4 linked regions of the Solanum lycopersicum genome follow. Each later gene encodes a partner of the first gene's protein in a complex. Links are inferred from orthologs where the notes say so. Each region holds a gene or a part of one and is shown on either strand. Other genes may lie near its edges.

Region 1 (7,656 bases):
TCTCCATCTTCTTTCTGGTGAGTATTTTGTTTATCTTATGCAGCTCATTCGTAAGCTTCTGGTCTTTGTTTTGTTTCCTCGTCTTCCTACCATCCTGCATCTTCACTCCAAACTGGAATGCAGCTTTCGGCATTGCTTCCTTCTGCTCATTGTATGTCGCCCACTCCTCTTCTGTCTCAAAGTCCCAACGATGAAGCCTTCCCTTTGCCTACAATGCATCACAACATCAAAGAAAAATTAGAGTTGTATCTTCGTACAATTTTAAAAAATGTAATTATTTTCAGTTATGTGAGGCAATTGAAGTTTCCTTTACAGGGACCAACATTTTGTAGGTTTCAAAAGTACGGGGGAAGGGGTGAACTAAGAAATGGCATAATCTTCAGCAAGAACAGAGTATCACTTACGCGTCCACCCATGTCCATTTTTGACAAATCAGCTTCATCATCACTGTCAACAACCTCACGATTGTACTCTTGGTAACCAGGATAGCACTCCGAATAGCTTTCAGAAATAAAGTTAGGATCCTTCTCTCTGGCATCTCTCTCTCTCAATTGCAGAAGCCTCTGATCATCCCTCTTGAACACTGACCCTAGGCCTCTATCCTTTTCTTCTTGAGTCATAAACTGTGGATCCTGAAGACCGTCAACATCAGCTTGCATATCATAATTCTGCTGGAGATATTGCTCAGGATAAGCCACCTGTTCAGGATACTGATAATCTTGCCACTCTGGTTGGTAAACACCAGCTACCGCTTGTGCTTGCGCTGCATCATATCCATTCTGGACAGATCAAACATATTCAACAATCAAAAGATGAGTAATAGTTGCAACACATAGTAAAATCTAATTAAGGGAGTAAATAAAGTAAAGTCGACAAATACGATGGAGGGCATCCAATTTCTTCCTTTCTTCGTATAAATGTAGGAAAAAGAATCTAGGCAGATTTTGTCATAAAATATTGTTAAGCATTTTAAACAGGAATGATCTAATGCCTTACAACTCAAAACTGACTCACCGTGTATTGCCAATCATGAGAAGGCTCAGATGGAGGTACTGGGCCATAGGCAGGTTCACTGAAATATGAGGTTCTCTCTTTGTTTCGAGGAGATTCTTCCATGTCCTCCGATACAGGGCTTTGACCCATATCTCCAGCAGGAACGGAGTAGTCAACGCCTTCCCCTATGAAGATATCTTCTTCTTCAGGTCTAGCAACAACAGGTCCCTGAACCTCTCTTCTTTCTGAATGGTTCTTTTTAGGAAGTTGTGCAGATGGATGCACAGTTTCTTTATCAATTTGGCTCTTTGATGCATCCGACTTCAATACTTCGTCATAACCATTGGATATAACTGTCTTCCCTGTACAATATTGAAAACTTGTGTCAGAACACAGAACAAGGATATAGAAGTGCAGCTCCTTATCAATGAAGAGAAGAGATAACTCACCACCAACAAAAGAACAAGAAAAGGGCAAAAGGGACCCCCTCCCCCAGCTCTTCATTAATGTACAGGTGACAGAAGAAGATCCAAAAGCCCAGAAAAAAGGAAAAAGAAGCAAGGTATACTTAGTGTTGGAAACACATAATAAGGACTCCAGAGAACCAAAATGCTCTTTTTTAGTCTCCATGGAAATACAGAATCATACTATATCTAGTTATCAACTACCTTCACACTCAATTACACCCTGTGCCCCGGTTTCAAAGAAGAATAACCCACATTCTATCCCGGCTACAAAACATTCTATTGTACTTCTTTATAGGAAACCAGGCCCAAACTCACTTTCGTAAGCAATAATATTAATAGGCCTACCAAGGATGCAACAACACCAGTCGGAAATTAGAGAAAAGGTTCCCATAAAACAAACTGGATATATAAGAATCTACATCACATTGTGACTCTAATTACTTTCAGAAAATACAGTAAGGTTTAGAAGGCACGAACGCTAAGCACCTTTGCTATCTTTTTCCTTCTTCTTCTTTTTGAGAACTTTTCCTGATGATCCAAGACGGAGATAGGACATGATTTTAGCTATTCGGTCTAGAACAGAACCATCAACACTGACTGTAACCATTTCCTGAAAAATATAGATGAGATAACCCATTCAGATGGAAAATTCAGGAAGAAATTGCCTGACAGTAATGCAGTATGGAAAAGGGAAATACCTCGAGGACTGGACAGTCAGCTTTGCTTCTGTGTAGAGTTGTAGGAATATCATTGGAGTATCCACTATCCTGCAATATACACATCAACCATAAGTGAAGAAAAAGAGAGACCGTGAAAGAAAACATACACACAGTAACCGCAAGTGAACAAAATCTTCACATCTTCTTCACTATCCATATTCCATATGACACATCTGATCACCAAACATTTTAGTAGTAAAATAAATCAACTTCAACGATTCTAGCATCTAATTTCCGACAACACCCTTTCCACCTTCCTCCAAGAAAAAGAATGGCCTTCAGAAGGAAAAGACTATTCACCCCCGCCATACAAGCTAAACTCTAGCGTGACATCAACAGTTAACTACAGTTTTGCCCAAAAAAAAAAAGTATGATCCAATATAGAAATAGAAGCTTCTCAGCTACCTATCACAAGTACAAAATTTTGTTTACTATTACATCTCAAGTCTAAGCGCACTATAAGAGGACTCAACTAATGGTCTGTGAAATAATTCCTTTTCAGGCAAGTAGAACCTAGCATACACAACACATAAGAGCAGAGGAAGTATAAAAGGGAAACATACCATATTAAAAATAAAAGCCATCCGTCCAGGAAGAAACATTTCGTTGGTCTTTATAACAGTCTGAGGCTTGATTATCCATTGGTATACTGACTGAAACCCCAAACTTACTAGTCACTCTATTGAAACATAACTACACCAAGCAACAACTAGAAATATTTGAGACGAAATCAATTGAAAGAGTTAATGCACCTTGGCAGTTGCAGTACGGAATGACAATTGATGATCTTCCTTTACACCTCTATTAGCAAAAGGGATAAATAGAATAGTTAATCGAACAGTTTCCAGCAGCACTGCTTCTTAGACATGGTGTTCAAAAGAACAATTCACTAAATATGCTCATTACTTTGCATATACACAAAAAGATGTTAGCAGAGTGTCCCTAAATCAGGGTAATCTATGGAAGAACATATAAAGGGGCATCTACAAAAGAACTCCCTATCTAAAGCTACAGTCTTATCCAATGGGAGCTACACATGGATCAACTTTATTAGCTGAAAATTACTAACAGGCTCTTGGAGAGTCAGTTACTTATTCCTGGGGTTGAAGTAAATGAGTCATACATACAACTAAGCAATAAAGTAACCTAGTACTTACCTAGCTTTTCCTTCTAACGCCTCATCTCCAGTTTCTGGCTTCTTATCTATTTCACTTCTCACTTTGTGAAGCAAAGCATAATCTAACCCTTTAACCAAATGTGTATGTTCCACATCACCTAATTTACAATCAGCCAAAACAAGGATTGATTAGCTGAAGCCATATATCAAGAAAACTGCTGAACTGAAACTAAAAAATATTCTTGTACAACCACAGACTATACGAACCTCCAAGATACTTGCTCTTCTCAATAGATAATTTCTGAGCATCAGCAGAGCTGTAAAAGTTCAAAACAAGAAAGTTAGAACAAAATTAAACGAAGAAAAAGAGAAATGGGTGTTTCGTTTTTTTTTTTTTTACAGGAGATCAATATTCCCGGGAGGAGCAACAGCATGAAAACCACCAAATTCAGTGAGTTCATAATCAGGATTTTGATCTTCTCTCCTTTCTTTAGCTCTGTCTCTGTACTTTGGTAACTCCGGTTCTTCAACCTTCTCTTCTCTGTAACAAAAACAATAGAAAAATCCCCCATTTTTCAGCAAATTAAAGAAGGATCTATTGAGATTTACATAATCGAAGATGAAAGAGAGAAACAAACTTGTTGCGACGAACAATCTTTTCCTTGTGATTTCGCTTTGAAGAAGACATGATTGAGACCTTATTCCCAAAAATTCCAGATTAGGGTGAAACGAGCGAAGAAGACAATCAACCTCATATAAACATCCCCAAAAGACTAAAATAACCCTAACTTCCTACTTTTTGTTTCGATTTATCATTATTCGATTTGTGAAGATAATCAAATCAATAAGATATACACTATCAATTTTTAACTAATTGATTTTGACAATCTAATGAGCGCGTTTTTTATTTAATCGATAAGAAAATGGTGTTATATATATATATATATATATATATATATATATATATATATATAATGTCCATCTAATACACTTAGGGGTCGTTTGATAGAGTGTATAAGAATAATGCAAAATAGGGTGTATTAGTAATGCTTGCATTAGTTATGCAATTATTATTTTTTATACACTGTTTGGTTTGATGTATTAGAAAAAACAAATCTTGCATAATTTCTATTTAAAAAATGTATGTTTACAAAAATACCCTTTACACTTTATTTATTTTTACACTTTCTTTGCAACAAGGTTCTTTGTTAAAACATCAAAAAAGATTTCTTTGCTAAAACATTATTTATTCCTATTCTTCTTCTTTTTCTAATATAAAATTAAAAAATTGTTACTACATTAAAATAAGATTTAAAAAGAACAAGAAGAAGAAGATGTCAAACATCTTCACAATTTTGCCACCATACGTCTCAAATAGAGGAAGTAATGTCCTCTTATTTATATTTTTTTATTTGTTGATATATCAAACTCTTGTATATGATCCATTGTCTTTTTCTTAAAAAGGAAAAACGAAAAAGAGAAAGGCTGCATGGTCTTCTGGTAACTTTTTGTGACAATTCCTTTTTGATTACGATTACCATTGCACTTAAACTTTACAAAGGAGATTTTTCGAACAATTTATATAAAAAAAAAAACTAATTACATAAGGACTCTATTTGCTGGAAATCTGTCAAAACGCGGCTGGGTCGACGAACCTCGCGACGGATCGTCGTGGTCACGATGGACCGTCATGGACTCCGTCATCCCATACTTGTTCAATTTCTTCTGCTGCTCTCTTCATTATCCTCAACGACAGATATGACGGATCGTCACAAGCACAACGGTCCGTCGAGGGTCTCCGTTCCAAAACACTTAAACTCTTGGAATTTGGGTACTGGACTACTTCTCTGACCTTCATGACGAACTAGCAGGACGGATCGTTATGAATACGACGGTTCGTCACGCACTCCGTAACCTCACATTTGGTTAGATTTCCCCATCTTCCTTCAGCAGCTGCACCACGATGCCACCTACGGACTGTCGGAATCTGGACAAATGTGGTTCTATTGATTTTTTTTTTGATGAAGTAAATGTGGTTTTATTGATTCAATGTTATGTTATTTGTGGAGAATCTTCACCAATTATTCATCACCGTATTGCTGATGATGAATCTTCTAAGTAGTCACTGCACATGGCTTAAAGTCAGCAACCATTGATTTATTAAGCCTGATACTAGACTTTTGAAAAAATGAAGGGTGAAATAGGTTATATCCAAATTTTGACTTGCAAAGTAGTTGTAGAGCCTTCGATTGGAATTCTGTTCTTTGTATTTCACGGGGTTATAACATCTTATATCCAGTTCTGTGTGAACCAAAACAAAGCTAGAGGGACATAAAGTATGAAACCATTATCTCTGACACAATGGGACTTATCATTAAAAATAAGGTGTCCAAATAGCAAATACGAAATTGATTCTATGGTCAGATGCAGTATCAAACCTTCCAAAATGAGATGAAATTTATAGTTTCCATATTCCGCCTAAATCATCTGCCACACTGTTCAAACAAATAGAAACGAACTTCTTCACCTCTTCTATCACACACATTCATTAACTCATAAAGAAATTAACAATGAAAAACAGAGACTAGACACAGAAATACAAGACAGATTAGAAAACTGTCATAGCAGCTATATAATTGCATTTCAGAATCTCAAAAGTAAATGACTACACTAGAATTTGAAGAGTTGTAATAACAACTATATAATTACATTTGTGCTTAGCATTGACACAAAAGTTGAAATATTTTGATAAAACTTTAGTTACCCAAAAAGATTTAACATGCTCATGTGCACATTAATAATTAGAGATGCCCAAAAAAGCGACTGTTGTCACACTTTGAAGTGATTTCAAGCAAAAATTACTAAACTAGTGTAGCCACTTATATCACAAGTTCACAGTACTTCAAAGTTTATCATGGACAGCCATCCACATCATTGTCGGACGATCATGTTCACCTATACGTAAAAATAATTCCATCTTTTTTTCGTCATTACAGAGGATCATTGCAGCTTTTATACGTTGCTCTGTGATGCACAACTCAAATACAGGGGATTCAAGAATAGAATAAACTTGACCACGAACATTAGATCGATTACGATCCCCCATCTTTTCAATCAAAGCACTAATTCTTTTATCTTGACTTTCAGTAAAGTTTTTCATAACTTCCATCATACCCTTAAGAAATGTCTCACTATCATCCTCTACTATTTTTTCCTTTTCTTGCTTTTCTCTTTCTCGTTAACATTAGAAAATGATCTTTTTGAATACTCACCTTATTTATGACTTTTTCGGTATCCAACATGTTCATTTTCAGAACCAGCAACATTTTCTCCTTCATTAAATATGCTAGGTCCAGTGACATTTTCAGCTCTAGTAAATGAACTAGGTTCGGTAAAATCTTCAACTGTAGCAAATCCACCTTGTCCAGTGGCATTTTCAGCTTCTTTAGTACCAACTTTAGAGCTATGGTAAACATTTTCTTCTTCTTCTTCTTCTTCTTCATCATCATCAAGATCAACATCGATAGGAAATCCCAAACTCATGTCATTAGAATGTTGTGGAGCTTGACTCTTTTGAATTTCTTCAGTAGCTCTAGGGGCCCTTCAGCGAACTCTCATGTTGCTCTATCCTTACCAAAGATTTCTTCCCAATCCTTAAACATTGGCAATTTCTTAGCATTCATTTTCCTGGCTTGTGGATCAATCTAGAATATTTAAAAAAATAGAACAATATGATATTAATTAATTGTAAAAGGATCTAAAGAGAGGCTAAATGCTACTGTATATGAAAGTAACTAATAAGGAAAGTACCATATTGAAAAACAAAAATATATTAACTACCTTTATAAAGTCAATCCAATGTTTTGGATAATCAACTATCATATTGAAATCCCAATCCACTCCGAGTCTTCAATAAAGTTATACTTCTATAGCATCTTTTCCAGAAACTGATTTTATTTTTGATGTGTGGTTCACCTTTCAATCCACTTCTAGGATGATATTTGTGTATATAACGTTCTAACTCCATCAAGTGTCCTGGTCGAAAGGTACCATTATCAGCTCTCCAACCATTAGCATACAACTCTTTATGTCCTTCTAAAAGAGTTTGTTCTTCTTCTGGAATCCACGTCCTTCGTGTTGAAGGTGTTGTGTTGCTTGATTTTTTTAATCTCTTATTTGATGATATTTGACTATTCGTTACGCCTATAAGAACTTATGCGGTAAATTATTAAAAAAAATCAGGAAGAACCAAATATCATAAGATTTACTATAAACTAAAGCATATATACAACAAAAGAGACGTCAAGAGTACATAAAGGCGTGCAATTAAGGTCACAAAAAACAGAACTTTCTGGCAGTT
Region 2 (7,723 bases), on another chromosome or scaffold:
GTCCGGACCAGCTTTCGAGCACCTCGACTAATTCCACAAGATATTTGTCATCTCCCACCCACAACAAGTTAGATAACTCTGTCCACCAAGGCTAGGACAGATGGGAAGAGTCACTTAGCGATTGTTTGGTCTGCACTGAGTTCTGAACCCGAGAACCTCAAGGTTCTCAACCACTTTATTGACCACTAGGCCACATCCTTGATGCTATTTTTTCAAACACTTTCAAGTACTTCATAACATAAAATCTTGTGATTTCTACTGCTTCTTACAGTTTCTAGATATACAAATGTTAAATAAAATACTCTGAATCGATGTCCAAATTCATACGGACTATTAGATGACCAATGGAAGATCCAAGTACAGGTTTGTGGGTTCAGTAGAGCCCAAAGGTTTGCAGTCGAACCTTATATTTGTGTGAGAACAGGTAGAAATAGAGTTAGATGTACAGTTTAGAACTCATCCTTCCACTCAAAACCAAGTAAAACCAACAACACTTGTGTTTGGAATCTCCCACTATGCTTTCCCACATAACCCTAACACGACAATTCTTTTTGGTATTGATGGAGTAAATATATAAATAATATAAGAAAGAAAAAAACAGCAGCAGCACAACTGAAAGCCTCACTTCTCTCAGAGAAAGGGAAAAAACTAAAAGCTTTCAATTACATTGGGGCATCATCCCGCCATTATCTTATGTCATTTTGACACCATCATCACAATTTACATATATTAAGTATGTTAAAAAATAGTTGCAACAAGCAGAAATCTATTTGGACCATAATGACATACATTTTTTTCCAGAAACGAAGTTTGCATAAGAGAAGAGGAAGTACAATTCGAGTGGTTACCTCCTGTGAACTGGGATCCAAAGTGGTCACAGTGGCACTTCCTTGATTCATCATCCTCTCATTAACATCCTGCTTAACCAAACATTTCAGTATTCAGATATCTATAACAAAATCACCACAACACACAAGAAAAAAGATAGTCATAAGTTGAATTGCAGCCTAATGGTTACAACTCCACCTTCTTACATTCATAGGTGGTTCAAATCCCACAAAAGGATCCTTTTCTACACTTCTATCCCAACTATTTAAGTGCCCATCCCTTACTCCAGCAAATTTTATGCAAGAAAGAATTTAACCAGGACTAAAACTGCAGCCTAATCATTACATCTCCACCTATCTATGTCACAGCTGCAGGATTCCAAACCTACAAAAGTGGTTTCTACGTTTCTATCCCAACTATTTAAGGGCTCACCCCTCACTCAAAAATACTTCAAAAAAACAAAAGAGAACTAGAATTGCAGCATATTATTGCAACTCCACCTACCCATCATTACATGAGCAGGTTCCAATCCTATTTGCAAGACCACCTTCAACAACAATAACAACTATGCCTCAGTACAAAACAAGTTGAGGTCCAGTATGCTTTGGATCCTAACTATTACATGTGCAGGTTCCAATCCCACAAATAATGTACTCCTTAAATATCATCTTGACTATTTGCAAGTCAACCTTCAACAACAATTTACGACTCGGTACCAAACAAGTTGAAGTCATTATCTAACAACTAAAGAGCTCATATATCATCCAGCATATACTGATACAACAAATCAGTTAAACAGCAAATATCCTCCTTCTACCCATATCATAAGTGGTCTTCATCCCACTTGCACAAAATCCCCAACACCCTTAACACATCCAATAAGCATTTACCACCACAAACACTTACAAAATGTCAAATTACGGATTTGTCCATTCACCATGTTTATAGGTCCAAAAAAATGGGGAAAAAAACTAGCTAGACATGGAACTACAGCTGCAACTTTGCCTACATCAATCATACTTTCTAATCTCACAAAAAAAGGGGCTTTTTCTAATAAATTTGAGCAACAAAAAAGAAACTAACCAAAATCTGAACAAATTGAACAGCTTGAGCCTTCAAGGAACAGAGAAACAATCAACCTCGAACAAAGCAGCACCCTTATATGTATTACCAAAGCAAATTGAGACGAAAAAAAACAAAAAAAGATATGGAAAAAATTGGGAAAAAAAAAACAGAGAACGATTAGCAACGAAGAACGATTACAGATATCGATTTGGTAAGGAACTACAGTATAATATATGATTCGAAGCACAGAATTATTCAATGTTAAAGAAGAGATTTTTGATTTATGAAACTAACGTCGGTAGAGAAAATGAAATACGGAGATTTGTGTGTGTATATATATGGCGTAACTTGATTTTCAGTCGAAAAAAAATTCAACCCGATTGACTTATTCGGGTCGTAATTTGTGGGGGGGGAGGGGGGGTCGTGTTTGAGTTTTTTTTTTTTCGCATTTTAGATGTTATAATATATGATTGAGTCGAGAGAGGATGTATTCGAAATAATATTTTTATCATAAGTGGATAAGTAATCTTTATTTATATTATAATATATATCCTTCAAGTCTCAATTGTGTGACTGAATATTAATATGATGTTGTTGTGTAATATATGGTTAATTTATTGATTTCGTAAATCTGAATTATGAATTTTTAACATTTTTGATTTATTATGTTTTCTAATTCAATTTTTTTGAGATAAAATGTATGGTTTTAGAATAGATTATATATAACGTTATTTATACGAAAGACACTTAATCAATACAACGATTAAAAATTCTCATTCATATTATGCAATTTTCGCTTAGAAGAATAATTGAATATCACAAAAATAAATGAGATGAGAAAAATGAACATTGACAAAAGCTTTTAAATAGCTACAATAGTACCAAATATAATAAATACAAATCGATATACATGAATAAAGTGAAGGAAGGCGCACATATAATTTGCAGATATATTCTTTTTTTTTTTAATTGTTTTAGTGTCACGTGTTAATTCATGCGTTTTATAAAAGAGATTGTCAATCACGTGTATAGTGAGAAGCTATCCTTAATAAATGTTTGACGTTCAATTAGTCAGATTCTTAGTTTATATATATAAACAAAATAGTACTATAATTTTCTATTGTCTGAGTTTGAGTGAGAAATACATCAAGATTTTCGTGTGTTTACTCATAATGCTTTTGTTTTTCGTATAATGGATCTTGGCTCGCACTTTATGGAATTTCCACTGGGAAAAGAATTCAAACATTTCTTATGTACCTGTGATGGAAAACGTTTGAACTCTATCTCTTTTCTTTTCATTCTATTTTGCTTTCGTTCTCTTTCTTATGAATTGTTATCAGAAACGGTAGACTGCGCAGAAAAGGATTCAGGTGGAAAAGCGTATACCTTCTCTATATCCAACAACAACTAAATAAACGATAAACTTGTAATTTCTTAATTTCGATATAGATTAGATGAATACATCAAAATCGAATATTCGTGCATTCCGATTTCCGCCCGAGAGAAGAAAAAAGAGGAGGAGGTTTCACATTTGGGAGAGAACTCAAATGGGCTTAGAGTTAGAAGCCCACTCCATGAAAACAACATAACAATAAGCCCATAGCTGTTGAGGCCCAAACTTTAGTATATAAATCAGAGAGAGACCACTGTGCTATACTCTTTTGAACGAATTGGATCTAGGGTTCTTACATTTCTGTGCCTTTTTCAATTTTCAGGTAAGCGATTTGCGATTCAAAACCCTTTTTTCTCATATATTTTTGATAAAAATAGCTTTCTTCATCATAATATATGTGCCTGTGCATAATTCATCTAGAAATTGGTATTAATTCCGAGTAATTTGGATGAAATTTTGTGTTTTTTTGACTCGGAATATTCCGTAAAGAGGTGTTTTTTTTGTTACTAGTTTTGTTTTATGTTATATAGATATGGCGTTTGTGCTAAATTCATTTGAAAAAATGTAATTGAGCTGTTTTTATTATATACGTGCTAATTGGGTAGTTTCTTTTGGTATGATGTGCATTTGTAATATGTATGTGCTTTTTGACTTTGAAAATTCATTCAAGATGCCTTTTTTGGTTTTAGTTTTGTTTGATGTATATTGAGCTGGCATTTTGTGCTAAAGTGATTGGAAAATAGTAAAGGAGTTATTTTTATGTTCAAGAGATCATATAATATGGGAAAGGGGCTAATTTGGTAGTTACTTTCAGTGAAGATGTAGTGGTTTGATGAGATTTTGTATTATATGTGTTTTTTGTAGTTTCGTTTGATGTTTTATTGAGCTGGCATTTGTGTTAAATTCATTGGAAAAAAGTAATACAGCTATTTTTAATGATTAAGAGATCATATAATTTGGGAAAGGAGCTAATTGGGTAGTTTCATCCGGGAAGATGCGCTATCATGAAATTTTGTATTATATGTTCCTTTTTGACTCGGATAGTTCATTCGTTAGGCATTTTTTTAGTTCTGATTTCGCTTGATATTTTATTGAGCTTTCATTTGTGCTGAATTCATTTGGAAAAAAAAGTATATGAGCTAAAAACAAATTTATGTTAAGAGATAGTATAATTAGGAGAGGAGCTAATTGGGTAGTTTGTTTCAGAGAAGATGCCGCGGTATGATGACAGGTATGGTGGCACACGCCTATATGTTGGACATTTGTCTTCCCGGACGCGATCTCGAGACTTGGAGGACGTCTTTAGCAGATATGGGAGGTAATTTTTTAACCATTCATTACTTTTATGCAGTGATCGGAAAGTTATTGAAATTTGAGTAATTGAATATTGAGATTCCAAGAGGATAAAGATTGAGCTTTTAGTTGTTTAATTTTGTTAGTGGAATGAAATACGCCTAAGTAGAGTAGAATAGATATAAAAGATTCATATGGTTGATCTCAACTTGTCTGGTATTAGGTGTTGATTGATTGATTGCTGTACTTGGTGATTATTTTATTGTGATCATTTTTTAGAAATGATGTTGCTTCTAGTAGTTCACAGTCTTTGTTCTTTGGGGGTGGAGATGAGACACACTAGTCGTTACAGTGACCTTTGTTTTATTTTTTTAAAATTTGTAGAAAATGTGAGAGCAACACCCCGTGTCTTGGTGTTTTTAACTCGAATAATGTTTATGAAGGTTTCTATGTTTTTGCCCAATCCGGAGGTTTGTGGTGGGAGGTTGCCCTTGATGAATTGGTTCCCATTCTTGCGGAGTGTGGCGATTCTTTCTATAATGTTATTGCGTATTTTTTTGATGGAAATGGCACAATCCAAAAAGTGGTGTTTAGTTCATCTTTGAGGGGCGAAGTATCAACCCTTTGGTTCTTATGACTTGATGGCCTTACTGTTTCTGGAACCCATTTACGCAGAGTACGTGATGTGGATATGAAGCGTGACTATGCTTTTGTGGTACGCCTTTCTTCTTCTTCTTTTTTTCCTTTTCTGTTCACTTCTTCATTAATGATATTTCTTAGGGTTGTAGGGTGATCATCTAATCCTTGTTTCATATATTTGTGATTTAAGCTTCTTTCTTTTCTTCATATACTGCTAAATCTAGGAGTTTAGTGATCCTCGAGATGCCGATGATGCAAGATACGGCCTAAATGGGCGAGATGTTGATGGAAGTCGTGTTATCGTGGAGTTCGCCAAAGGGGTGAGTAAAAGTTTGGATTTGATATGTGTTCGTAACTGCAATATGCATAGTATCTTTATGTTTTATTTTTGCAACTCTAGCAAATTACACTCACATGGACATGTGCATTTTGAATATCAATGCAAAAAAAGAAAAACCAAAAAGAATTTCAGGCTTTATGCCCAATGAGTGGGAAAATATGGTGGAACTCGATTATTTCCGAGATGATGCTTCAGTTCTCAATATAAGTATATTACTCTACAATTGGCATGTCACAGAGGGGAGAAAGAAGATCTTGGTTTATCACTTTCGTTGAAGTAGTTAAGTTGCTTCAAGGATTTGTTTTCTTGGTATTTTGAGGAGTTATGCACGCCTTAATCTATCTAATGCTTCAGATTGGTTAAACAAAAAGCTGTCCTTTTTATGTTGGAGTTTACTTGCATCGCAGGTGCCTCGTGGTCCAGGTGGATCTCGAGAGTTTGGTGGCAGAGGTCCTCCTCCAGGTACTGGTCGTTGCTTTAATTGTGGAATTGATGGACATTGGGCTCGAGATTGTAAAGCTGGGGACTGGAAGAACAAGTGTTACCGCTGTGGAGACCGAGGTCATATAGAAAGGAACTGTCAGAATAGCCCCAAGAAATTGAAGTATTTTCCTAGTTGCCACCTTATTTCACCCTGTGTATTTTTTGATGTTCTAGTATACTTTAATGATTAAAGGTTATTATTTGTTTTTGAATGACAGACGTGACCGAAGTTATTCCCGCTCACCATCTCCTCGGCGTGGAAGAAGCCGCAGCCGCAGCCGCAGTTACAGCAGAGGTCGTAGCTACAGGTCTCCCCCTTTGCTCCTTTTTGGAATGCGCTCCATTTAGCTTCATTGAGAACTTCTTATGTGTTGAGATTCTGAATTGGCATTGCCGCTCATGGTTACAAGGACATATCCAGTGAAACCCCACAAAGTGGGGTTGGGGAGGGTAGAGTGTACACAGTCCTTAACATTGTCAATCATGGCTGTGAAGTTGAAATAATACTGTGGATAAGTAATTGAATTTGTCTTTTCATAGATGTATTATGTGGATAACATATGAAAGCTTGTATTGTTAGAGCTAGAAAGTGTCATTTTAAGTGCTAACAGATTCTGTTTATCTCAACTAACTGGCCTTTGTGGGATTAAAACATACATATTTGTTCCCGTCACTTAATCTATCTATACAAATAAACAAATTATTAACATATATTGTGTTTGATTTCTTTGCAGCCGATCCAGGTCTCCTGTGAAGAGGGACCGTAGCATTGAGCGTGAAGAAAAGAGATCAAGGAGTCCTCGCCATCATAGGTCATCACCACCTCCATCAAAGGGAAGGAAGCACAGCCTTTCACCTGATGAAAGAAGTCCAGTAGAGAGAGGTACACCATCACCAAGGGATGATAGGGCAACCAATGGTTCTGACCGCAGCAGGAGCCCTAAAGATGATGTTAGAATGGATGAACGCGGAGATATTAGCCCTGTTGAAGAAAATGGCCGTAGTCGCAGCAATAGCCCCATCCATAGGGAGGACAGAAGCCCAGTGGAAGACGGTAGCCCAACAGGTGACTATGAAAATCATGGTTCTCCAAGGGGTTCTCCAAGGGGCAGTGAGTCACCCTAAAATGTGCATATGATACATTGTGGCAAGTGAATGTTTGACTCACAACTATGCATATGATACTGTCAGTGTGGCAAGTGAATGTTTGACTCACAATTATCTCATCCTTGCACTTTGATTTTATAGTACTTTTTCCCTATATTCGGAAACCATGTAATTGATTTTTCTTAGAATGACCGGAATTTGAAACTGCCTTGCACATGCTGTGTTCTATTTATGAGATTACATTAAAAACTTGCTTGGTGTTATGTGTTTCAGCTTGAGTTTGGTTGGTATCCTCGGAACTCTATTTGAAAGTGATGTAACTATGTATGTCACTTCCTACATACTGTACCAAAGCATTCACCAATTGTGAAGTTGAAACGCAGCAACTGTCGTGAATTTGAGATGCATCTGGCAGATCAATTGGATATACGGTAAGACTTGTAGTTGTGTGTGTTATTTGTGTTGCTGTCTTTTGATATCTTTTGATCTGGTGTGGGGAGTGGCAGATACCAGAATGATTACAATAGACTGGTATATACAGGGGTGTGTATGTTATTTGTGCAGCTGGCTTTTGG
Region 3 (7,884 bases), on another chromosome or scaffold:
GAAACCTTTCATATCCCGTGTATGCACATACTCAATGAAAGCATAACCCCTGGGTTTATTGTTTGTCTTGTCCATAACCAAGCGAACCTGAAACTCAAACAATTTATGGAATTGACACTACTAATAACATTATAATCATTTTCGATGCAGCGGTCAAAAAAGTTAATGTTTTTTATCTACTCAACGCGATTAGGTATAGTAAGCTCCTAATGGCACGGCAGGCACTATGCCTAATTAGCCGTGCTCACCTTTGAATCAAAGAGCTCCCAGGCGAGATGCTTCACCATCACTGCTAGAGTTGCACAAGAACTGTGGCCTTATGTTTGCAATATATTCTAACTCCCCTTACCAGGGAACATTTTAAAATAAAATAAATTATTATAGAAGTATAGTCAAATACCAGGTGTCTCCTGAAATGCTTGAAACTTTTTTGATAGCCTTTGAATCCAAAAGTAAAATCTTAGCAGCATAGATGGGATGTAAGAAGAGTAAAGAAGAGAAAAGGTCGATACTCCCAACAGTTTTTTTACCAAGTAAAGGCAAGTATCAATCTCCGGTGTTGCTTGGAATAAGAGGCCAAAGATATATTGCATCATTGCTCTGCTCATCTAAGTGTTCAGCTTTGTTTCATGTAATGTAGCTCGGACTTGGAAATTGAATGGTTATGTTTGGCAACTCAAAAAAACATAAAGCTACCAGATAATTAAGTTTTACCCTTACCAGGAAAATACCTAGGAGTTGAACATCTTTACCTTTGTGGTTCTAGAAACTAAAGGAATACCAGAATGAATAGTACTTGAAACTAATGATATCCAAACCAGGATAAGAGGATAAAGGCATCAAACTGATACTCAATAATTGGAGTACTGTTACCTGAGGAAGGGCATACTGGCAATCTGACCTTTATTTTACAAAGCAAAGAAAAACTAGTAACTTCACAAAAAAAATCACCCATTTTCAGAGAGCAGTATGCACCTCGAACACCAGGGAAGAGTGCTAGCAGTTTAAAAAACAATCCATTTCTTAACTACAGCCTGAAGAGATGCACCCAAAGATACAATTGAAAAAAAAGTTCTCCGGATAAAACGTGTTTTTTGATGATCTGAAGCACTAAGAAAGTCGAGAGCTAATCAGTTTATTATTTAACAGACAACTGCCGAATTCAATAAGTTCTTATCAAAATACTGAAGTGCAATCCATGCTATAAGTTTATACACAGAATGTGAATCGCATGCACCTTTAAGTGGAAGTTTGAAACTTAGAAGAGTAATGAGTGACACTTCCTTTTAGGTAATCCACCCTCATTTCAGAAAGTGTATCGACCCCACAGTTCTTTAAATTTTGGTTATCAAAATCTGTTTTAATAAGATGCTAATTTTTTTTATGAAGTACATAAAGAGAAGCTGCTAAAATCGTAAGATGTTCTATGCTTTAAGAAATAATAAGTTGTGGAAATATCAATTTGAGAAACGGAGGAAGTACCATGCCACCATAAAAGTACACATCTTACCAACCAAAAGCCAGTAACCTGAGCCCCAAAAGGGATGCTCTATAATACCTACCCGCTTGATTGGACCATAAGCCTCAAATTCGCGTTTGACTCTGCTTTCTGTTGTCTCATAATTCTGAAAAACATGTAAAAGACAATCAACAAAATTAAGGAGATATTCCATTGTCAAAAAAAAAGAAAAAGATTATATTCACAGCAGCAAAAATGATCTAAAAAGATCTTCACTCACAAGTCTTGCAACAAATAGTGTCTTGTATGGATCCCCGGTAGCATTTGGGTCGCTGCTAGGATCATCTGTCCAGCAGAAATAAAAAATTATTCCATTTTTCCCATAAATGTCTCTCAAATATTCAGAAAATTTAAGCACTTGATACATTTTTCAAGCTCCTCAGCAGCCTTTTTAGCACCCTCCTCCAGCCGTATCTTGTGGATCCTAGCTCTTCGTTCAGTCTGCATGCAGTACCAAAAGCAATCTATGAGCATAAAGAAAAAATATACACAGATTCACCATAGTATGTAATTGCACAGCTTATGTTACATCTTATTATACTTTTCTGGAAAAAGTAACTCTTCAGAACCGGTTGGATACCAAAGGATATAACTGTCTCAATCCCAAATGAGTTGGATTAGATAACCCACATCTCAAGTTAAATAGTAATTATAATGCACTACTCTAACTACATGCACTACCAATTTACAACAGTTTCAGCTCCACTGACTTGGGGAGACAACAGTATCTTCTAAGATGAGATCCAATGGTTACAACAGCTCTACAACTTGGAGAGATGATAATAGCACCTTCCCATTACACAGGACATCTTTGCATTATTCAGTGAAGACAAACATAAAACACAGAACTAAAGAAGTACCCTAAAGAAAAAGATAAAGAACAAGACATGATATTACCAATAATTCAACAACAACACAATGTTTTAGTGTCATTTGCTGGACATTCAAGATTCATTCATCTCGAAATAGAAAACAATTCAGCAGCACATGAAATGGCAGAGCACACATAAATAATCAAGCAAACATCATATTCATGAAATTAATATCACTGTTAAGAGAAGAAGAAGGGAGAAGAATGAATATGCAACCCTCAATTAAATATATCGGCTTACCCAAAAAGATCAGAAAAAAAATTTGCAGTACATAAAATGAAGTCTTACCGGGGTTTCAACCTCAGGGATTGGTGGAGCATATTCTGGATCACCAGGTTGAGCGAAGTTACTAACAAATTGTGCCATCCCTAAAAAGAGAAATGAGAATATATCTAAGAATTATACGAGATGACTGATGGAACAAGAAATGACTCAATCCATGAAGAATGTTAACCAGTATATGAAGGGCATTTTCTCTTCTCAGGGGGTGGTTTGTACTCCAAAGGTGGTCGGGGCTCAAACAACTTCAGAAGATTAGCAGTCAACCCAGTTGGATGACTTTGACCAATCTGCATATATTAAGTATATTAACAAAGTTAGTACACAAACTTGTAGCACCAGTGAAGAACAAAGAAAAGGATATCCAATAGTGCAGCAGCCTGACAACATAGTTCTACTGTTATTCTAAGCCAACTATCTAATCACACAGTATATTTAGATGTCATAAAAGCACAACAAATATGCATCTTAGACAATTTCGAATCTCATTTCACAAAAAACAAAAATAATGAACCTTGAGTTGGAACTGGACGAGTTCTAAAATATCACGAAACAAGAATTAAACCACAAAACCTTACTCACTACCCATAATAACAAATCACCAAGACATCAAGAAACCAACAACTTGGGGGTTGACATATGAATCCACATCAATTCCACTCCATCCAGGTCTGTTTCCCCCAGTATCATACAATTAATATTTTGGGAAAGATTATAGGTACCTAAGATTATAAATAAATCGACATTGAGAATCCCCAACCAAATTAAGAGAGGGACTTAATATGAGTTTACCAACAACAACTGACTAGACCATAATCCCAACAAGTCGGTATAGTCTATATCGGTACTTCACTTCTACTCTAATTTTTCCTTTGCTGAATAACGAAAGACCAAACAAATTGTAGCAACAGGACATAAAATCATCTAAATTTATAACCTAATACTCATCAAGAAAGAACCTACGGAAAACCTAAACAATCAAAAAACACTAACACAAAAAAAAGGCCTAGTTTAACAATCTAAGCCAGTAAACAACAAAGACAACAGATCGAGGGTTATAACTTACCAGCTTGAGTTGCATGACATTAGCGCGATTCTGGGCCTTTGCACGGGCCTGAACGTTAGGGTTGTTCCGCATGAAGGCATCGTTGAAGTCTCCCATTGAAGCCGACTAGGGTTTTTGCTAGATGCGAATCGCCGCCACAAGAAGTGGAGTTACGTTAATCGGACGATTGGAGAGATGGAGAAGATAGCTGAGGCGGCACGAAGAACAAAATAGAAACAAGGGTTTATCCGGCGCAGAGAAGCGGCTTATATAAAGACTCCATCAGAGATCGTACTCCAGCACTGGCGAGTTCATTTATACCAAATTTTAGAAATATTTTTTTTTAACTAAAAATACGAAATATCATTTAATCTTTTAAATATGTTATGTAAATAACGAAAAAAATTATCCAAAAGTAAGATAAATTTTCTTTTAAAATTAACTAGAAAAAAAAAGCAAAGAAATGAATTAGAATGAATAAATCAATAACTATGAACAATGATAAATACATACTTTTCTATGTCTTAAAATACGAAATTTTATAAAGTCAATGAGACTTTTAAATTTTAAGGATAAATCAACTCAAAAGAAAGACATAATTTATGTAATTAATATTTTCTCTAATCCATATTAAGTAATATGTGTTCAAACGAATGTCATTTAATTCTTGACAAGTTTTAGTACGAAACTGTTTTTATTTGTTAACCCTTCAGTTCAATATATTTTGATATTTTTATTTATTTTATGAAAAGGGATAAATATATCCTAAACTATTCGAAAAAGATCATATTTATTTTTAAATTATATTTCGACTTAAAACTATTCTTTCCATCAAACTGATGGGTCAAAAGTGGATTTTATTAACGAAAGTTGTTAAATGTCTTGTACGCCAATCGAGTTCCACTGCCACGGTATGTACAATCAAATATTATATTGTATAAAAATTTATATATATAGTCAAAATGTACAATAATGTGCAGAATATTGAGACAAAAATGATACTCTGCTATATATAATGTAATGTAATATATACATAAGCATATTTTGCTGCTATGACTTTGATTTTGTATATTTACTAGACAAAAATCACGAAAGAGTAGATCCATTAATTGTATCAGTTCTAGGGAAGAAGTCAAAGTGTTAGCTATTCATCCTGTCAAGCTTCAAGTTTTCAGCTAGTTAGCTATTCATCCTCTACTTCTTTGATGATGATCAAGCTCACTGGAATCACCGCTCGAGGAGGAAGGGTTGAGTCCATAGTCACTTGTCCCTCCATATTCACTGCTATTGAATTCTTGGTTTGATATCATTTCCCTAAACTTGATCATGTCAGCGTTGTATGCACTAGTATCGTAGGTATCAGTCTTTGCACCATCGCTCATGTCCTCCAAAGATGAATCGCCATCCAAAGCTCGCATAATCTGTTCATTAGAATGTGCATCACTAATTGTCTCCAGAAAGTAGAAGAGAAAGGAACATATACCATGAGTCTAATTGCAGTGGTATAAGATATAAGTTCAAAGTAATAGGTAAAGGTAAACCACAAAACCATGTACCAACCGGCTTAACAAAGGAGGGTCTAGTTTGATAGCTCTAATCTAGAAGATGACATACCTGAGTCATCTTTGGACGTCTTTTAGCAGAATAACGAGTGCTAGCAGCAGCACAGACTACTAGCCGATGCAGCTCTTTTGGAACATTGTTTCCTTCAAAAGGAGCACCTACCAATTCGTCATATTTTCCCTCTTCCAAGGCAGTTTTAAGAAGCGGCCTAGCCTGTTCATATTCATATATTAGGCTAATAAGGGTATGCATATACAAAGATTGGTGTCTAAATACATGTTAAAATCTAGGTATTGTTGATGCAATGAATGATAATATGAGAACTTGAGATCAAGAGCGAACCCATTCTACTAAACTGTCTTCCATAATATTGCTAGGATCAATAGGTCGCTTCCCAGTTATGAGTTCCAAAAGCACAATTCCAAATGAAAAGACATCTGATCTGTCTGTTAGCTTGCCACTTGATGCATATTCAGGAGCCATGTACCTGTAGTATAAAAATAAGACGGCTTTTTCATTACTGATGCCTAATTTCTTCCAGAATCAAGCATCCGCATTTATTACTTTAACCAAGAGGTCAGAAAAAGTTAAAATGACCTCTAAAACATTTTTCATGTATGTTAAACAGTGGTTTATTTTTTGCCTTCACTGTGGATATCTCTTGCCTAAGCTACTATGACTGAGCATATGAAAAGTCTCTGAAAATTAGAGACCTTTAGAACCCCAAAACAAAAACATCAAACAGATTTTCAGGGCATACTAAATTTTGCAGAATTATCAAATTTCTAGGCCTTTTAGATTGATAACATGGTACATGATTGGATTTCGACCAATTAAGATCTTTCAGTAAGTCTGGAAACATTTAAAGATAAAAGATTGTATGTCACTTCTAAAGATAAGCACTAACCTTCACCTAGTATTTCTTTTACCTCTCAAAAAGTAGAAAAATGCTATGCTCGACTCACCCGAAAGTTCCCATAACACGGGTGGAGACATGAGTAAGGTTGTCAGAAGAAAGCTTAGCCAATCCAAAATCTGCAACCTGAGAAACCAGAAACACTCTTGTAATTCCCAAGGTTATCATGATTATTAAGCAACGCTTCTAATAAAAGTGGAGATTTATGTTGAAAACCAACATCATAAGTTTCCTGACATGTGCAAAATACATAAAAACAAATTCACGAGACAATAATGACCTACAATAATTTTACCTTAGCTTCAAAGTTGTCCTCAAGTAGAATGTTTGCAGCCTTTATATCACGGTGGATAATTTTAGGATGGCCTGTGTGTAGAAACAAGGTTGAGAAAGAGAAACAAAGAGTAAAAGAAAAGGGGAGCATTGTGAATAGAAAAAATTGTATACAATCTTCATGGAGGTAAGCTAATCCTTTGGCTGATCCCAATGCAATTTTAAGCCTTGTTCCCCAATCCATAACACGATGTCCCTTCCCTGCAAACAAATTTAGTTTTAACTATTAGCATGGAGAGCATTTTCAACAGTTCCAACTCATATATATTGAAGAATTTTTATGTTATTACTTGGTGGATTTCCTCACTTGCAGTAAGACATAATTTGTCTTATCCTATAGGTTACTAATCCCACTTTTTATGATAATTACCTGTAGTTATATTTAAGGCGACCTGATTGTGTAATAATTCTTTATACTAGCTAGTGCATATAAACTCTTACGGAAGTATTTCAATAATGTATCATAAAGGGAGTATTCAGTGACAGGGGAAGTACCATGAAGATGGAATTCCAAGGTTTTGTTAGGAACATACTCATAGACCAACATTCGTTGTCTATCAGCAATGCAATATCCAACAAGAGAAACAAGGTGGCGATGATGAACTCTGCTAATGATATCAACCTCTGCCTGAAATTCTCGTTCACCTTGTCCACTGCCCGACTTCAAACTCTTGACAGCTACCACCGTTCCATCAACCAAAACACCTTTATGTACATAGCCAAAACCACCTTGGCCTAACAAATTGGCCTTAGAAAATCCAGAAGTTGCTCTAGCTAGCTCCTCATAAGTGAACTGACTCTTTGAGAACCCACCAAGACTCGGAGATGGCACAAGAGCTTGGCCATTAACAGCAAAGGTGCTATCATTACTTGTATAAACTGTGGTAGGAACCTTAATAATGTGTTCCATGGGCTTAGGACCTTTGTAGTATGGATCAGTACTACCTGCACCTAAAAACAAAAATATACACTGTTACTAGGATAGTGAAACCTCCTACAGTTTTTGAGTTTCTCATTAAAACAACAAACCTGTGCTTAAATAATTACGACAGAAATTGGATATGCATATAAGTTAAACCCTTATTTATACAAGAGAGTACTGATTATGCTTTTAAGCCACTAGATAGTTCAAGTTTTCATCAATTTACAATATCAGGATAGGTAACATATATTCAAAAAGAAACAAAGACACATAGGTTACAATTTTACGAACCTTTAGGTGGACGTCTAGAAGGACCAGGAGGAGGATTGGTATAGTAGTGTTCTTTCTTCTTCCTTCTCCAGTAAATTAAGCAAACAATGATAGTGGCGAAAATCATCAATCCTGCCACTGCTATTCCAGTGACTACAAACATAT
Region 4 (7,637 bases), on another chromosome or scaffold:
TTAAGAGAACTCCACACTAAATCTGAAGAAATTAGAGCTAATATGCATTTGAATTAGAAATTTACTATGGTCTTCAAATGGTGGAATTCTTACTCTGAGCACTGATTTATATTTTCCAATTCTTCTATTCACATAATCAATTCTGGTCTCTCTGTAGCACTTTGTTTTCTTAAATTGCAAGTATAATTAGTTGTCCTCCATCCCTCCTTGATAAAAACACCACACTCTAGTTGCACTTAAATTCTTGGGAAATTTTCTGATCTTAACATACATGCAGTTTTTTCACCACGATTCCAGTATTCTAGAGTATTGTTTAAAATTCACAAGTAAAAGGATCCTATTAGATATGTCTTCAAGATGTAAGACTAGGTCATACCTTCACTGTCACGAGAAACCTCAGCAAAGCACACATCACCAGCTTTCCGCATATGATCCTGACATATTTTCCACCAGGTTACTGCAATTGCTACAGATACAAACCAAGATAGGGAGATATCCTGCCCACTTCACTTACCTTCAAATCTTGCCAAGAAGCAGAAGATGGAAGACCTCGAATAATAACTGTATATAGATGACAAGAAAAAGTCAAGAGACATCTATATGATCAGGGACAATTACATCTACAGCAATCAAGACAAAGAACTTCACAAGACATTCAAATAAGTTATAGTGGAACCTCGGTAATCAGAATGCCGAGAAATGCCATGGCGCCCTCCACCTCCACCGCCACCGCTGCCATAACTGCCTCTGCGATCACTTGAAGATGATGGCCCTCTTCCTCCATGAGCAAGCTCAACCTATATCATGCATCTAAAATGTCAACCACATGGAAGCTCATACGTCCTACATAGATCTGTGTATCTATGAATATGAGAGAATCAAGATGGAAATTGTTCTTACCCTCAGCCTACAGCCATCAAAGTTGTAGCCATCCCTACCCCTGATGGCATCTTCAGCATCTCGAGAACTTTCAAACTAAAGAATACGGAGAAGGGAAATTAGAGATAAATCAGCACACAGAAGCAGCAGTTGACAATAAGAAAGGCAAAAAAAAAAGCAACCAACAGCAGAAGGTCAAACTTCAAACTACAGAAAACTATATACATGTAAATATGCTAAATAAATATACCTCCACAAAACAGTAGCAAGGAGGGCGAGGTGGAATCTTCAACTCAATGTCCAATATACGACCATACTGCAATACAGGAGAGAATTTATAAACAGTAAGCACTTTTTAAGCTTAGGATACAGTGTTTCTTTTACAACAAACCTTAGGATACAGTGTTTCTTTTAAAAGGAATCTCAGTATATAGTGTCTGCAAGAATGTATGCTAAACCAACTCTACATTTCAAGGCTGAATGCTTCCAAATCGATGCCTCCCAACTGTTTACTCTCCTCAATCGGGTAAACAGAATACTAGTGGTATTGAGCACCACTGCCTAAAGCCTAGAGTAGCAAGTATGGAAGAAAGACCGAATCTAAAATAGGAAAAATAAGAGGCAAGGAGCATGCAGTGCAAGATACCAGAGAAGAAGCCTCCCTCACCATCAAACTTTGTTTTCAACCACAACCTAATATTGATACTAGTACTGCAACAGATTCTCTTATGAAACTACACTTAGGCTTTCTTGTTCTAAAATTTCACATATAAGAGGCAAATCAAAAAAATCCATTATACAGATGGCATTGTAATGAAACTCAGGGAACAAGCATATCTAGGAATGCATTCATCTGCAATATAATCTCGGGTGAGGCTGTTTGTTTTTTTTTTTATAATGATGCGAGGCTGTTGTTTTTTTGTTGTTTACAAGTATAACTTATGCATTGAAGGTTGAATCCAGAGCCCTAGGAGATAATTACGATTGATAATAACTAACTTCTCCACAAGAAAATAAGCCTTTGCAGCTAAGTGTTTAAATAAGTGAATGTGACAGACCTTGTAGAACAGATCTTCAACTTCCAGTTCCTTTATATCTGCTGGTAGGTTGCCAACGTAGATTGAGCGTGAAAAGCGGCCACTCATTCTCAGCAATGAAGGGAGGATTCACAGAAAACTGCAAACAGATGTAACTTATAAACAATTTTCATGATTCCACTAAACACTGAAGAGAAATAATTAAACAATTATGGATAAATTTATATCATTCTGTATTTGACTTGATGATAACAGAATCGAGCAGAAAAATTCTGAAGCAAACCAAGAGAGCAATCCTTCAATTGAGCTGTACTCCACAAGCTCCATTGCTCAAATGCTCCATGATGCTCCAAAATTATAGATTCAAACAGAAAAATTATGAAACCAAGAGAAATATCCCAAGTTAAGCTAATGCTCCACAAGCTCCATTGCTCATATGCTCCAAGATGCTCCACAAGCAAAAATTATTTGAACTAATATTTGATCTCCTCATCCACTCAAAATTTTTGCAGATGATAGCTCTTCTGAGAGTGAGGAAGAACCTCCAACTATACATAAAACCCAAATACTCCACCCTGACTTGTCCCACTCCCCCAAATACATCCCTATGTATGATTCCAAAGCTCATTTTTGTTCCAAGCGCTTGAAATCTATCATAAAGAAAGCATTTATGTCATAAGATGAGGTGAGATCGCGACATACTAATGCATTTTCCCTTTTCTTAATTATTTTAAAGATCACTGAGAAATTATCCTACAAGGCATGCAATATATACCTTTCCTGTTTAAGTTTAACATAAAACCAGTTTAGTGCAACTGATGTTATTTCCCTTAACCTAAGATTCGATAAGATCTCTAAGTCACCAATTCTCAAAAAGAAAAAGATTTTTAGGTTACCAATGGTCAGTAAAACATTGTTTGAACTTTGAACTGTGGAGACTACAAAGATGCGAATTGGATATGAAGCAGCATATTTTCAGCAAAAAAGAATTTACTTTGGCAGATCATCGTCCAAATAGTTTTTCAATATATGGTTGGATTAAAAACAGGATCATATGGCGATCATTAAACGCGCTAGGATTGAATTTATAGATTCTGAATTTTACAAAAGGCATCCGCATCTTCTAAAAGGGTTCTAGATAAATTATTTATTTATTTTGAGAATGAAGAGAATGGAATCGGGATAAATTTATTTTCTTTTTGATGAACATGGTGTCCTGGCCAGCTTTCTCGCACCTCGACTAATTCCACGGATAACTGCCACCCCCACCAGCAACAAGTAACAGGTACCGGTAACTCTGTCCACCAAGGCTAGATAAATAATGCATACATATTAAAAGAAAATTTGAATATAAAGTACATGATGTGGGCCAAACCTACCAAACCCGTCAACTGTAATGTGGCTCCACCCCGGCAATCATAAAAGATGGAGGATGGTATTTTGCTGAGATATTTGTATATTAAAGTTGACAACGAACCTTATGTGTTGGATGAATCAAGTGATACAGAGTGAGATTCAGAATATTCGTAATGGAAAATGACGTAAGTTGTTTTCACCCTTTTGGTGGTGAATTTTCAACCATTGAGGAAATAAACATTGGAGAACGATTCAATGAGTAAAAAAACTATTCCATAAAATATTCTCTGCCATACCAAGAATACCGAATTTTCTTATTACACGATTAGAAATTCATCTTTTTATTCCACTATTGCTAGTATTTTCTTCCAGATATGATGGTTGCAGCTCTCTGAAGGGAAAAACGCTATTGAAGTAAGAATTTCACTGATAAAAAAAAAACTATCACACTGTTATGTAACACAAGAAACATCACAAATATGACCCATAAAAGTTCGATCTTTTCTAGCAAAAGCCAACGAACAATGAGAAGCAACACCCAGGCTAAAACAAACCCTGGGATTACGAAATGAACCCATTTCTGCCACAAACAGAAAACGATCAATTCGCAACACAGAACATCCAGAAAATACAGAAATAGCTAAATTCGGTAAGATTTTTACAGATGCGTAACTAGGGTTTCTTCCACCCTCGACCCTTCTTAGAAATTAACAAATGTGCCCTTATCTTAGAACAGAGCTGTGAGAAAAAAATCTTCTAAATATTACCTGGAATTTCAATTAGGGCTCGGCGAAATTCAGATGAAATTGATGTTCAACTTCTTCTCCGGTTCTTGTCGGGTTCTCTCTCCTGGTGCTGTGCTGCACTTCTTCCAGAGAGTTCTTAATTTTAGGGCTTTTTTCTGGTTATAAAACCCAACAGAGTAGGATCTGTTCCCTTGATTTTTATTTTAGCTCTTTTTAACCCTTCAGCTTTGATTTATTTACACAAGTTCCCATTTGGAATCTCAGTTTTCTCTGTGCAAAAATCAAATCGATCGATAAATTAAAATTAAAAAATATATTATTGATTGGTTATTATTGTGTTATTTATTAGATTGACAGTTTTCTAATGGTATAATAAAAAAAAATATTGATTTATCGGATTAATTTTGATTTTTGAATATTGGATTATTTGATAAATTAATAACTCATAAGACTACAGTAATTTACTATTTTATCGTACATAAAATATTAAATATTAATATCAATGCATCACTAGTTAGTACTCTCTCGGTCAATATTTAGTTGTCCAGTTTAAAAATGACACACATATTAAGAAAATAATTCATGACGTAATGAATTTATCATTTTACCCCTATTAATTATGAAGTGGATAAAAAAAAATTACACTTTTCAAATTAATTAGTCATTTCATTGAGGTATAGATAAAAAAAAATGTTCATTCTTGATTTGTCAAACTGGATAAGTAATTAGGAATAGCTATAAAATAAAACGTGGACAAATAATTAGGACAAGAGAATAGTTACTATCTTTGTCATTTTGCATTCTATTTACTCTTGAGAGTGATTTTGAATGGACAACTTCACATTATACAAAACGTCAAAATCTAAAGTAAATTTCTTTCCTCTTAACTTCTCTTTGTATTACACTTGTATAATCTTTTCATGTTAGTTGTTATTGTTTATATTTTATGAGCATTTAACAAGTTACATTATTGTTAAAGAAGTCATATTTGTTTTACAAGCATTTTTTATTGGTTAAATCGAATACTCAGCCGTTAAGGATCAAAACTGATAAATCGTAAAACGAAGTTGGTTTTAGCATATCTAAAATCGATAAAATCAAATTGATAATACATAAAATTGAATTGAATCGACCAATACACACGTTGTTTGATAGGATGTATTATAAAAATAATGCATGAATTAGCTTTGTGTATATTAAATATCTTGTTTGGGTATAATTTTCACTTTTTGTGTACTTTATTTAGTAATATGTTATGCATAATTAATAATTTCTTCCTTCAATCTTGTCCAGTGTACTAAAAATAGATGTCGCGATACTTGTCCACTTTATATAATCCTTGAATCATTTTACATATAGTTTTTAAGTTATCCTTATTATCAATTGTAATTATTTTCCTATAACATTTTTTCAAGACATTGTTATATTCAAAGGGTGGTATAGTAAAATTGTCTTTCTATTTATAGTTTCTTTATAGGTGTGCCAAGTCAATAGTACACAACTATCGTTGGACAGACAGAGTACATAATGAATTGTGTCAGTTACGCAAGAATTTATGATGAATGTACTAGCATGGTTAAATATATAATTGTCTCTCAAAATTTTTTACACATTCTTTTCATTGTATTATTGACGGTATTTGTGTAACCAAATAATTACTTTTAGAAATCATGCGATTCATATTATTTTTAGTACATCAAAATAAACAATATATTAGTAAATGGTCTTAGTCATAACTAATATCAACGTTAGTAATATATGTTACCACTACTAATGCACTTTATTCAACTTTATTCTTATATACACTACCCAATAATCCATTTATTTTATTATGTCTTGTACAACTATGTGACAAATCATGGGATTAACGATTGAATAAAAAAAATATATACAAACATTCTTATCATACTTACTATTTTTTTTCTAAAGTTTAAAATAATTATATAGGATCACAGCAATTAATACTTTTATATCAAAGTATAAATAACATTCACTATAAAATACGGATACATGAAAAGAGTGACGAGTAAGAAGGGCGAGCGAGAGAGGAGAGAGTCAAGCGAGATAGAAAAGGAAGAATGAGAGAATTAATGTATCCTAGCTATATGTACATCTAGTTGGATAGAATGTATCTAAAACAAATTACATAAAAAATTGATCTCATTATCCGAAATACGTATATTTAAATGCGCCAAATTACATGATTTGAATATTGAAATTTAGCACAAATAACAATTTTAAAAACTCACGAAAATACACATAATTAGGTCTTAAACTAATAAAATTTTCCACATATATTCACTATATTTGCGAATTAACTTATGTAAGTATGTTTTTTAAAAACACAACTAGATTGAATAATTATGTATAAGAATGATTTCAACGTAATTAATAATAGCACAATTAATACCATCATTACTAATACAAGCTAAACACCTCAGAAGCAAATTAGTGTACTATTAAACACTTACTAACCAAAATCTTCTACACACATCTCTACTCAGAATCGATTAAACAAAAACAAAAAAAAAACAATAATAATTAGATCATCTTGCTAACCAAACTTAGTTAAATTATTAGTTTACTACTCAATACTCACTATACTAATCAAACTTAGCCCAATTATCAGTTCATTATTCATGTAGTCTTATTTGTTTTTTTTTAGGAAAAATTAGTAAACTAGTCAAAATAAATAACATATTTAGTAAAAATATCCATACTTTATAAAATATTAGCAATAATGTCAAAAATGTCATTATTTTAAAAAATTTATGTGTCCCAATTTTCTTCCTATTTTATCTCTCTTTTTCAATTAATTCTATATATCTTTTTTTTAAAAAAAATTATTCTCTCTCATATTTATCTTTTCAAAATTGTTAATTCTCTCTCCCATTTAATTTTTTTCTCTCTCTCATAGTTATCTTTTCTGATTTTCCTCCAACATTCAAGTTGCAAATATTTTTTTGCCATATATTTTGGTTGTTTTTTTAATCCAAAATTGAATCAACAAGAATCCCTTTGATTAAGGTATCTCTAATCTTTATCCTATTTTCAAATTTCTTTTCTAATTTTATTTTTGTTTAAATATTAAAAAAATGTTGTTTCTATTTTTCAATTTCCGTTATGATTTATCTCCAATGGCTGAATCCAAGAGGCTTACTAGAGGTATTCATCTTAATCAACCAATTTCTGGTGATTTTTCATCCTTTAATTTATTTATTACTTAACAAATAGTGTATAATGTATGATCCACTGCTAAAATAAGGAAAGAAAGAGGATAAGAACAAGATTCATTGGTGTGCAAAACCTTCTTCAAATTTAGAACGCAATAGAATCTTTCGCGAACAATTTTCTATTAGTTTGTTTTGTATTTATTGTTCTTTTTTAGAATTTGGTATGCTTTCTTAATTTGTATTCAAATCACTATGTATACTATCAATATTTGTATTTATTAAAAATTTCATGTTGCATGGTTTATGAATCTTGTATTTGTCCCTAATTTGTATTCATCCAAATGTATGTCAACTAGTTATGTAATTTATTTATAAGAAGAACAATTTTCTATTAGTTTATTTGTATTCGAATACAAATACAAATAATAGACATATTGGAATGAATA

Evidence for each region. Proteins that work in one complex are often made in the same cells at the same time.
Region 2: suppressor of mec-8 and unc-52 protein homolog 2 (region 1) and serine/arginine-rich splicing factor RS2Z32 share a complex: the UniProt entries of both Arabidopsis thaliana proteins name them as parts of the spliceosome. The link is inferred for Solanum lycopersicum from reciprocal best matches to the Arabidopsis thaliana genes SMU2 and RS2Z32.
Region 3: suppressor of mec-8 and unc-52 protein homolog 2 (region 1) and U1 small nuclear ribonucleoprotein 70 kDa share a complex: the UniProt entries of both Arabidopsis thaliana proteins name them as parts of the spliceosome. The link is inferred for Solanum lycopersicum from reciprocal best matches to the Arabidopsis thaliana genes SMU2 and U1-70K.
Region 4: suppressor of mec-8 and unc-52 protein homolog 2 (region 1) and serine/arginine-rich splicing factor SR34A share a complex: the UniProt entries of both Arabidopsis thaliana proteins name them as parts of the spliceosome. The link is inferred for Solanum lycopersicum from reciprocal best matches to the Arabidopsis thaliana genes SMU2 and SR34a.

The regions. Positions count from the first base shown.
Region 1 is NC_090806.1:9,683,232-9,690,887, reverse strand, and holds the start of suppressor of mec-8 and unc-52 protein homolog 2, read right to left. Parts: upstream 4,201-7,656; 5' UTR 3,985-4,200; coding exon 3,935-3,984; intron 3,838-3,934; coding exon 3,697-3,837; intron 3,614-3,696; coding exon 3,564-3,613; intron 3,455-3,563; coding exon 3,337-3,454; intron 2,981-3,336; coding exon 2,932-2,980; intron 2,833-2,931; coding exon 2,743-2,832; intron 2,228-2,742; coding exon 2,159-2,227; intron 2,071-2,158; coding exon 1,947-2,070; intron 1,356-1,946; coding exon 1,015-1,355; intron 780-1,014; coding exon 405-779; intron 209-404; coding exon 1-208. UniProt on the Arabidopsis thaliana protein: Auxiliary spliceosomal protein involved in splicing of specific pre-mRNAs that affect multiple aspects of development.
Region 2 is NC_090804.1:67,962,525-67,970,247, forward strand, and holds serine/arginine-rich splicing factor RS2Z32, read left to right. Parts: upstream 1-3,500; 5' UTR 3,501-3,608; intron 3,609-4,492; 5' UTR 4,493-4,497; coding exon 4,498-4,604; intron 4,605-5,022; exon of another isoform or gene 5,023-5,254; coding exon 5,255-5,294; intron 5,295-5,442; coding exon 5,443-5,538; intron 5,539-5,965; coding exon 5,966-6,162; intron 6,163-6,259; coding exon 6,260-6,349; intron 6,350-6,775; coding exon 6,776-7,166; 3' UTR 7,167-7,397; downstream 7,398-7,723. Other genes in the region: SAC3 family protein A, read right to left, coding at 849-902. UniProt on the Arabidopsis thaliana protein: Probably involved in intron recognition and spliceosome assembly.
Region 3 is NC_090801.1:64,633,321-64,641,204, forward strand, and holds the start of U1 small nuclear ribonucleoprotein 70 kDa, read right to left. Parts: upstream 4,224-7,884; 5' UTR 3,833-4,223; coding exon 3,737-3,832; intron 2,961-3,736; coding exon 2,846-2,960; intron 2,760-2,845; coding exon 2,680-2,759; intron 1,961-2,679; coding exon 1,885-1,960; intron 1,805-1,884; coding exon 1,740-1,804; intron 1,626-1,739; coding exon 1,563-1,625; intron 88-1,562; coding exon 6-87; intron 1-5. Other genes in the region: proline-rich receptor-like protein kinase PERK5, read right to left, coding at 4,903-5,136, 5,330-5,491, 5,621-5,765, 6,244-6,320, 6,490-6,728, 7,023-7,478, 7,741-7,884. UniProt on the Arabidopsis thaliana protein: Mediates the splicing of pre-mRNA by binding to the loop I region of U1-snRNA.
Region 4 is NC_090802.1:49,074,387-49,082,023, forward strand, and holds the start of serine/arginine-rich splicing factor SR34A, read right to left. Parts: upstream 4,224-7,637; 5' UTR 4,040-4,223; intron 2,567-4,039; 5' UTR 2,200-2,566; intron 2,056-2,199; 5' UTR 2,025-2,055; coding exon 1,938-2,024; intron 1,196-1,937; coding exon 1,130-1,195; intron 976-1,129; coding exon 901-975; intron 798-900; coding exon 677-797; intron 562-676; coding exon 515-561; intron 435-514; coding exon 377-434; intron 1-376. UniProt on the Arabidopsis thaliana protein: Probably involved in intron recognition and spliceosome assembly.